Linked DNA regions of Schizosaccharomyces pombe. The protein of the gene in region 1 interacts with the protein of each later gene in a pairwise test. Each region holds a gene or a part of one and is shown on either strand. Other genes may lie near its edges. The genes, in order: syp1 and get3.

Region 1 (5,266 bases):
TCGCGAATGCGCATAAGTGTTGCAGCATCTTTAGCAATATCATCGTGTCCAAGACCACTGTCCTCGCTGTCACTTCCATCTTCAAGTGGAGTGCCGTTAGAATTCTTTATGATTGCCTCAGTAAGACTGACATTCTCCACCATCTCTGACTCATTTAAAAGACCATAATCAAGCAACTTGAGTCTACAAAAGAAAAGATGAACCTTGACTTTTGAAAGCTTGAAATGATGGCAGTACAAGCAAGTTGAACGTAATAAATTGTACATTTGAGAAAAAAATAGAGGGTGATATGCAGGAATAGGAAGTACTATATGACCAAAATGACCAGGGCAGTATCTTTCATCCAAATGACATGTAGCGCAAACAGAATTTTTTAGATATGGACCCAAAGCAAGGTCATATAATCCGCCGTTAGTAGGGTGATTTAAATTGTCAAGCAAAACGGGATTTACGATTTGTTTGACGGATATTTTTTCGACATCGTCAACATCGTAAATCCCAAACTTCACACTTTTAATCTCCGAAGAGACTGGCTGTGCAATATTCATTGTACTATTTTGCTTTTGTATACAACCGGCACATGCAATCCGCCCACAGACCTATTTGGTTCTGTATGAAAAGAAAATTTCCTTAGACTGTAATTTGCTAAAGTCCGGTGAAATGCGTTACAATGTGCATAGCTGTGAAGCTTCATTACTTATTTTACAGCGCGTTATATACAATAACACACGTAAAATTTTTTGGTAAACTACAAATTAGATATTTTAGCGCATCGGTAAATTTATAAACAAACCGAAAAAACCGGATTATTGATGCTAACACGTTACGATGTACTTTCATTGTTACACGGTTAACATATTGACCACTTAAACCATGGCATTATGGTTTCATTGTCGTAATAAAAATAAACTGGAGTTATTTAGAGAATTCGTACTGTATGCGAGTGGAATGTTGGTATCAATCAACTGACTTTCGTTGCTTACATTTTATTAGACTTCACTTCAGATAAAGTGCCTTAATAGTCTAACATGTGTTAGGATTTCTGATCTTGGTCTCTCTTCATTTTTAAATTTAATTGAATTAAAGCCATTCTCAATGTTTTCTGCTTACTTACCTTAAGTAGCGAAAGAAAACTTTCGTTTATAAGCACTAGTTAGTAAAATTCATCTATGGTAACAATATGGGTTTACGAACAATTATTCATATTTTTTGTTGATTTTTGAACATATCTCCTTCTTTTTTATACTATGGAAGTTGTTACTGACTTTTTCTCTGCTCAAACGTATGTTTTCGAAAGAATAGAAAAAGGTGCGATAATAGTAGTGAGAACTCAGATTTGAAATTAGCGTATGTTGAAGGCTTAAAAAAATTGAACGTTTCAATAGATTTCACTACCTATATGTTTTTATTCAAAAACTTGTGTTTTTTGAGAAATCGTTAAGCGGTTCGAATATGTGTTGGTATATTGGGTCACTTTTCAATTGAAATATTTTTGAGACTAATCCATAGTATTGAGCAGCTAACTAGTTAATAATCGATTAATTTATTTATGCATATTTCGGAAACATCGATATTGATGTATGTAGAAATGAAAATTTTGCCTTATTAAAAATATTTTCTTATGTCTTCATAACAGCCATCTAATAGCAATACTAATCATCCTCCATAAACAATTTGTTTTGCAATTTTGGAATAAAGTGTCATGTATCGAGTCGCATTCCCCCTACACTAACCACCACCACGCCATGGAATCATTGACGAAAACGGAGTATGTAGATGCGTTTTTGGTAAGCTTTATTTTAGCTATTTCCTTCTTATTAACAAATAGTCAAACTACTCTCCAAACGACAGCATGTCGATCTTTCGACAGCGCCTAGAGCAAGTTCGCCTAGACAACGACATGCTTTCGCAGTGGATTCGTGAGCGAATGGATATTGAACGGCAATACTCAGATCAATTACATAAGCTTGCAATGAACATGCAAGAAAAAAACAATTCATCGTTTGCTTTTAATTATGCTTGGAAACAGCTCGAGGGAGAAACCCTTGAAATTTCAAGATATCACAGTCAAATCATTGGACAAATAGCTTCGCAAGTTTATAAACCTTTGATAGATTATTATACTTCTTCACCACAAACGGCTACGCTTAGACGTTTAGCAGAGCGGTTATCAACAGTTGCAGAGGAGATGGCATCGTCTTCTGTACCTGGTCTGAAGGGATTAAAAAAAAAAGGCCGTGATGCGGATACTAAGAGTCAGAATGATCTCACTGCTTCTCGTGCAACCTGGGATTCCGATGCTCCTTTAGCGTTTGAAAAATTGCAAATTGTTGACGAGGAACGCCTCCTTATATTGAAACAAGTTTACCTGACAATTGCAAGTTTGGAAACTGATACGGCTCTTAAACAGCAAGAATTTTTTTCTAAATCTATGGCAGTTTATTCTGATCTACCTATTGAAGGTGAAATCCGTCAATTCATGAACTCCACATCGAAAGTTATGTCTTCCGCATCTGCTAATAAACCATCTAAGTCATCGGGCTTTCACATAAACAATGGAAAATCTAAAGAGGAAAAGAGTCATGGAGAAAATGAATCTGGTGGTAAATTGAAGAACAAAATGTCCACGTTGTTTCGTCGGAAAACCATAATGCCTAAAAAGGATAAGAAGCCTTCGCATAAATCTAATGGTCGCCCTAATAAATTAACTGCTTTTTTTAATAAGAACTCCAAAGCTTCGAGTATTTCGTCTGCTGAAGAACACCCATCGAATATAGATGATAGTTCAATCGAACGAAGACATTATGATTCCAATCATTCTTCACAAATTCGGGATCATCCCTCTACTAATAATAACGCTTCGTCTTATCAAAACTTTAATGAAACTTCCGACGAGGGCGAGGACAACGATGCCACTATTCGTGCAAACAATGTTCGCTCATCCTTTTTGGAGGCTCCGCTACCTGTGCAGCCTAATGTTCAAGCAGAAACGGTTACGCCTAAGATTTCCTCCAAGGCTTCCCCCTTTAATAAACCCAATTCTGTGCACTCTGAAGCCTCAAGAAATACCCCTTCATCGATCGATAGAGAGAATGCATCACATTCGAATCCTATCATGATGCATGGCAATGATTTTGGTGGGAACTTTAACAACATGCAATCACGATCAACAACAACGTCTCCCACATCAGCGGTGGCTTCCCCTGCGCCTACTGAAAACGAGGATAGCAATGCTGCAATTGAAAGGGTAGCAAATACTTTACGAAAGAATCCCACTATATCAAGAAGGACCCGTCGTGCTGGGACAATGGATCGTTATGCTACAGCATCGTCTGACTATATGGAATCAAACCTCGGTAGCTTGCCCAATTTGTCTACTTTATCATTACAATCGGGACCAGACTCGACTGCAACATGGCACCCTGAGTTCCCAAATTCTTCCGGGCTTTCTGCTTCAATCGTCGAAAAGTATTCTGGTGAATTATCTGAAGATGGCCTTCTTCATCCTTCCTGTTCCGGTCATATATTCATGAAATATACCTCGGATTTTAATACCCCTCCTCCTGAAATGGGTGTTCGCGTTGCGTCTGAATTTCCTATGTCTTTTACTCATTTAAATGACCATGCAGTAAAATATGGACCCTCAGAAAACACACTTTCTTTAATACCAGAGCTACTTCTCTCACCAATCAAAGTCACTGATTTTAATCTACATCTTGATAGTATTAACGGTGCTAGTTGCATTCCATTGACAGTTGTTCAGAAATGGAAGCATGATGAAAGCAGTAGTAGTATGATTGCATTTGTGAAGCCTAATCCTGTGTGGAGGAACTTAGGCTCATCTCTTCATATTGAAAAACTTGTTATCATCGTTTACTTGGGGGAAAATGTCCTTGTAAAAAGCTGTCAAAGTTCTCCGGCCGGAGAATTTAGCAGGAAAACTAGTAAACTTAAGCTACATCTTTCGAACATTAATATATCTTCGTCTGGATTTAAAATTTTAGCCAAGTTTGCGATTAGTCCTAGTGCTGCTATTAGAAAGCCAGTTATCGAGTTCCGTATTCGCATGGTTGATTCCTCTAATAACCCTGGTCTCACCAAATTGTTTTTGAAACCAGATATGTTTGATACTACTTCTTCTAGTGGAGGTTCTCAGCTAGAAAGTGCTTATGAAGAAACGAAGGTTCCTACTTCCTATGGTATTCATGTTCGTGAGTGCTCTGTTTTTGCTGATATGAGTTAAATTACTGTTCATTATTAGTCAAGAAAAAGCAAACTGCTTTTTTGGGTTTTATGTTTACACTTTTTTGCTAACCGAATTTTTTGAACATTGTATATATATATAAATGATTTTTAACCAGAGAATGTACAAATGTAAATAGTTATAGAATTTTGAATAAAGAGTTTCTCATTATTGTACGTACAAATGAGACATTGTTAAGGAGATTTTTTAGATTATTCAACGCAACTGAAAATACACTTTCTTAAATGGTAAACCTTAGAAGTTAGGCGAAAAATAGTGTCTTCAATTTAACGAATTCTATGAGACTGTAAACTAGTACAGTAAAATTATTATTGATTGGGGAACAATACCAGATCTACCTACCTGAGAGTAGCCAACAACGTGAAAATTTTAAAAAATGGCTTTGGGGACTAAGCACGTACTCCATCTCACAAAACCGTCTTCCAGGTCAAGTCCTTTGAACATTGTCATTGAACCAGCAGTGCTTTTTTCTATCCTTGACCATTCAACCCGGAAAAGTGAAAATAATCAACGTGTTATCGGTACACTTTTGGGAACACGTTCTGAAGATGGCCGAGAAATTGAGATTAAAAGTTGTTTTGCAGTTCCTCATAATGAGAGCAGTGAGCAGGTAGAAGTTGAAATGGAATATCATCGTGCGATGTACCATTTACACCTCAAGGCTAACCCTCGTGAAGTTGTCGTTGGTTGGTATGCTACTTCTCCTGATTTAGATGCTTTCAGTGCACTGATTCAAAATTTATATGCTTCTCCTGCTGAACCCGGAACTGCTCCACTAGGAACGTATCCTCATCCCTGTGTTCACCTTACTGTCAACACAGATGTTAGCAGTCCCCTTGCCATCAAGACTTACGTTTCTTCACCAGTAGGTATTACAGAGCGCCTTGCTGACAGCTGTGCATTCGTCCCTACCCCTTTTACCATTCGTGATGACGAGGCAGTCCGTTCTGGTTTGAAAGCTGTAGCTGCTCCTAAGAATGACCCATCTAGACTTGCTAGCCT
Region 2 (4,082 bases), on another chromosome or scaffold:
GCAATTATGTCAAGAATAAAAAAAGAATTTAAAATCATAATCGTTTTAAAAAAAAAATTTTAAAAGGAGCAGCTAAATTAAATTAATGTGACATTGCATGGTTATTTATAAATTATCTTCTACAAATAATTAAACCAATTAAGTGTATAAATGCTCCTGTAGTGCTTTAATCAAAAGAAGAATCTTAATTGTTATTGTATTCATACAAATCTTACTTTACTTTTATATCTATTTACAACGTACGAAAATCGTATTTGAATATCAATTTAGGCAAACCTCATTTGTTTATTTTTTTTGGAGTTTCTTGTAACTCTTAATGTATACGATAACATCACCGGGATTAAAATTTACATATTCATATTCATCCAAATTCCTTTGTATGTTTGATTTAATTAATTAATTAATTTTGCTTTTTTTTTTTATTTTTATATTCTTTTCGATTAACGCGACCCGCCGCAATACCTTAATCACCATTTGGCGGGAATTTTGCTGAGCGATTATAGCTGGTAGTTTTTACCCAAAGGAGAAAAAGTCGCATATCAGTAGATGATGCTTTTAAACTGCTATAAAAGGTAATCCTACCCCCGTTCACTTTGAAGCGATATTTGAGCGTTCAGCTTAATTGAACATTCAGGACTTGAAAAAAACCTGTAGTGATCATTCTAATTCAAGTGTATAGGTAGCAGTAAGAAGTTGCTAAATTATACATTTTGTCTGTCTGCGAAAAAGGCCCAGCTCATAGAGAGATATTTCGCTTAAAGGTGGTAAAACTAGTGTTATTAACTTACTTTCAACAAAAGACATTTGTTTTCGCATTGTTCCGGTTATACTTGTTATTTTAGTTTAAGACGCTTTCCATTGAGTGTCTTCTTTTCTTTCTTTTTATCGGCTCTTATCCTTTATTGACAGATACCTAAGATACTTCTCAATATTTGGCTAACGCTTCTTGCAACAAAATGAGCTTAAGTAAGATGAGTATGAGTGGCATGAGTGGCATGGGTATGGGTAGCTCCAGTAACTCGAGTGCTGCGACATGTCGCATGAGTATGCTATGGAATTGGTATATACATGACTCGTGTTTCCTGGCTAAATCCTGGCATATCAACACTGGAAACAAATTCGCCGGTAGTATTATTGGAATTTTTTTCTTCGCCGTCGCTATTGAAGGTTTGTCCCTCGTTCAAAGAATGTTTGATCGCTGGATTGTTGCTCACTCTAATGGCAAAACTTTAAGTGGACCTCTGCGTATCTTCTTTCCAAGTTCCACTGTGCATGTTACTGTCTGGCAACAACTAATACGAGCAGCCATGTATTCATCGTTTTACTTGTCCGCTACCATCCTCATGTTGATTGTAATGTCGTTTAACGGATATGCCATTTTGTTCGGTTTCGTAGGTGCTTGGATAGGATTTTTCCTTTTCGCGAGTGATACTTATGGAACCCCATCCACTGGTACTGGATGCTGCGAATCAAGATAGTCATATTTAATTGTACAGGGGTATTCATAAGGATCCGATTTTAATGTACTATTAATACTTTTTACGATTGTTTTTGTTTGGTGTTGGGTTTCGATAGTGTGTTTTATGTTTTTCTTTGTTTGCTTATCAGGGATTATATTCAGACTTAGAAATAATAACTTTTTCTTTAATTCAGTTTAATATATCTCCTCTATCGGTATGCAAAAACTGGTAGTTTACTAAATATGTTGTTGATATGGATGCAAATTTATATGATGGTACAAAATAGTATATTCTCTGCTCAGTATGATTCAAAGTTGTTCCTTGATTTCTTGTGAGTGCTTTAGTCATCAACAAACATCTGTAGCTCTGATCCTTGATTTACGTTGAATGATTCCATGTAGTTCTTTTCTTTATAACGAATATGGTAATCGAGCTTCAGCAGGCCAAAACATATTATACGATTAGAAAATCCATTTAAAGGAATTTTTTTAATTATGAAATTTCAGCATACCGTATTTAGCATTCTACTAGCATGGCTTTACGAATCCTTGATAAAAAACTTACTTAATTGTTATATTGCTAGCGTATCAAAAATAGGAACAAAACATGCTATACACTATTAATTGTAGTTGCAATGTACAATTATTAAGTCTTTAATTAAATTTTTATCTCTGATCGTTGGGAACTGATCTGCCGCGTACTTAGGATCTTCATTTTCACTTGCAAACTGTCGTAACACCTATCCTCAGCATATCGCATCGTGCATCTGGTCAACGAGAGTCTATAAGAAGACTAGCTTCAGATTAAAAAAAAAAATTCTCTAATAAAGTAAAATGTCCTTCGACCCATTGCCTGGAACCTTAGAAAACCTTCTTGAGCAAACTTCCTTAAAATGGATTTTTGTAGGAGGAAAAGGCGGTGTAGGAAAAACAACTACGTCGTGTTCATTGGCCATTCAAATGTCAAAAGTTAGATCCTCTGTTCTACTTATCTCCACGGATCCTGCTCACAATCTTTCTGATGCCTTTGGCACGAAATTTGGAAAAGACGCTCGTAAGGTTCCTGGTTTTGATAATCTGAGTGCCATGGAGATCGATCCTAATTTATCCATTCAGGAAATGACAGAGCAAGCTGACCAACAAAATCCCAATAATCCTTTATCTGGAATGATGCAGGATTTGGCTTTTACAATACCAGGTATCGACGAGGCATTGGCATTCGCTGAAATCCTTAAGCAGATCAAATCTATGGAATTTGATTGTGTCATTTTCGATACCGCTCCTACTGGACATACGTTAAGATTTTTGAATTTTCCAACTGTTTTGGAAAAAGCTCTCGGCAAGCTTGGCGGTCTCTCCAGTAGATTTGGCCCTATGATTAACCAAATGGGTAGCATAATGGGTGTAAATGCCAATGAACAAGATCTATTTGGAAAGATGGAAAGCATGCGTGCTAATATTTCTGAAGTTAACAAGCAATTTAAGAATCCAGATCTTACTACTTTTGTGTGTGTATGTATTTCCGAGTTCCTTTCTCTTTATGAAACTGAAAGAATGATTCAAGAACTTACTAGTTATGAAATTGATACTCACAACATCGTTGTTAACCAACTTTTGCTTGATCCCAACACCACTTGTCCCCAGTGTATGGCTAGAAGAAAAATGCAACAAAAATATTTGGCGCAAATTGAAGAGCTCTATGAAGACTTTCATGTTGTCAAAGTACCGCAAGTTCCAGCTGAAGTTCGCGGTACTGAAGCTTTGAAGTCTTTCTCTGAGATGTTGGTCAAGCCTTACGTTTATCCTACTTCTGGCAAAGAATAATGTATTTTTTCAATCTTATCCACTGCTGTTAATAAGGGTGTCAAAAGCCTCTAAATGTATATTTTTTAACAAATTGATTGACAGCTTGAATATGCATATTAGAATGGCTGTTTCTAAGTTTTTACATTACTTTTATTTTGTTGAAGAATTCTTATCGTTTCCTCAGTTGAGCTTGACTATTTGCCAAAGCAAATAAACCAAAAGCGCTAGGTTGATACACTGTTTAATGATTAAACACAACAGGATTCTGAGCACACTGTTTAGATTAATATTAATCAATTTGACAAGATATGAACGTGTCTGGAATAACTCAAAACATTAAAAAGTTAACTTGAACTAACAGTCATTTGATACAGTTGTTTTAGTAGAATGAAGAAGACGTAATATGTAAAATTCTTCAGCTAGTTTTTCCGTAGATTATTTAACTACACCAATTATTAAAATACAATGAAAAAACACACATCCGAACATGAGGACGGAGACCTATAAGTTATAGTCTAATAATGGTATTGTACATAAAATTTGTATTTAGGCTTCCATGATGACTCATAACAAGGAAAACATAGAATACTAACAACTGACAAATTAAATAATTCCATAAGTTATAACAGAAACCTTAGAAGATGACTTTAACATATTGAGAAAATAATAAAAATACCGAGCAAGCGTACTGGTCACTTTAAAGAGAGAATTCAGCCTGTAGTTTTCGAAGTTCTTCTTCTTCATCCAATTCTTGAGGCTTTGAAATAGAAGGGAGGTCTTTGACTTGAGACGGGACAGCAGGAACAGCAGGAGTGTG

The links.
Region 2: the proteins of syp1 (region 1) and get3 interact in a two-hybrid assay, tested with the Schizosaccharomyces pombe proteins (2 studies listed by BioGRID, with this or other methods).

The regions. Positions count from the first base shown.
Region 1 is NC_003423.3:3,123,181-3,128,446, reverse strand, and holds syp1 (cytoskeletal protein Syp1), read left to right. Parts: upstream 1-1,725; 5' UTR 1,726-1,745; coding exon 1,746-1,787; intron 1,788-1,828; coding exon 1,829-4,243; 3' UTR 4,244-4,445; downstream 4,446-5,266. Other genes in the region: DNA-directed RNA polymerase I complex large subunit Nuc1, read right to left, coding at 1-548; tif306 (translation initiation factor eIF3f), read left to right, coding at 4,641-5,266. UniProt on the Schizosaccharomyces pombe protein: Multi-functional protein that contributes to the endocytic process, but also to events that occur at the neck during cytokinesis.
Region 2 is NC_003424.3:3,634,809-3,638,890, forward strand, and holds get3 (GET complex ATPase subunit Get3), read left to right. Parts: upstream 1-2,201; 5' UTR 2,202-2,293; coding exon 2,294-3,283; 3' UTR 3,284-3,582; downstream 3,583-4,082. Other genes in the region: Cu transporter complex subunit Ctr5, read left to right, coding at 957-1,478; ESCRT III complex subunit Vps32, read right to left, coding at 3,963-4,082. UniProt on the Schizosaccharomyces pombe protein: ATPase required for the post-translational delivery of tail-anchored (TA) proteins to the endoplasmic reticulum. Recognizes and selectively binds the transmembrane domain of TA proteins in the cytosol.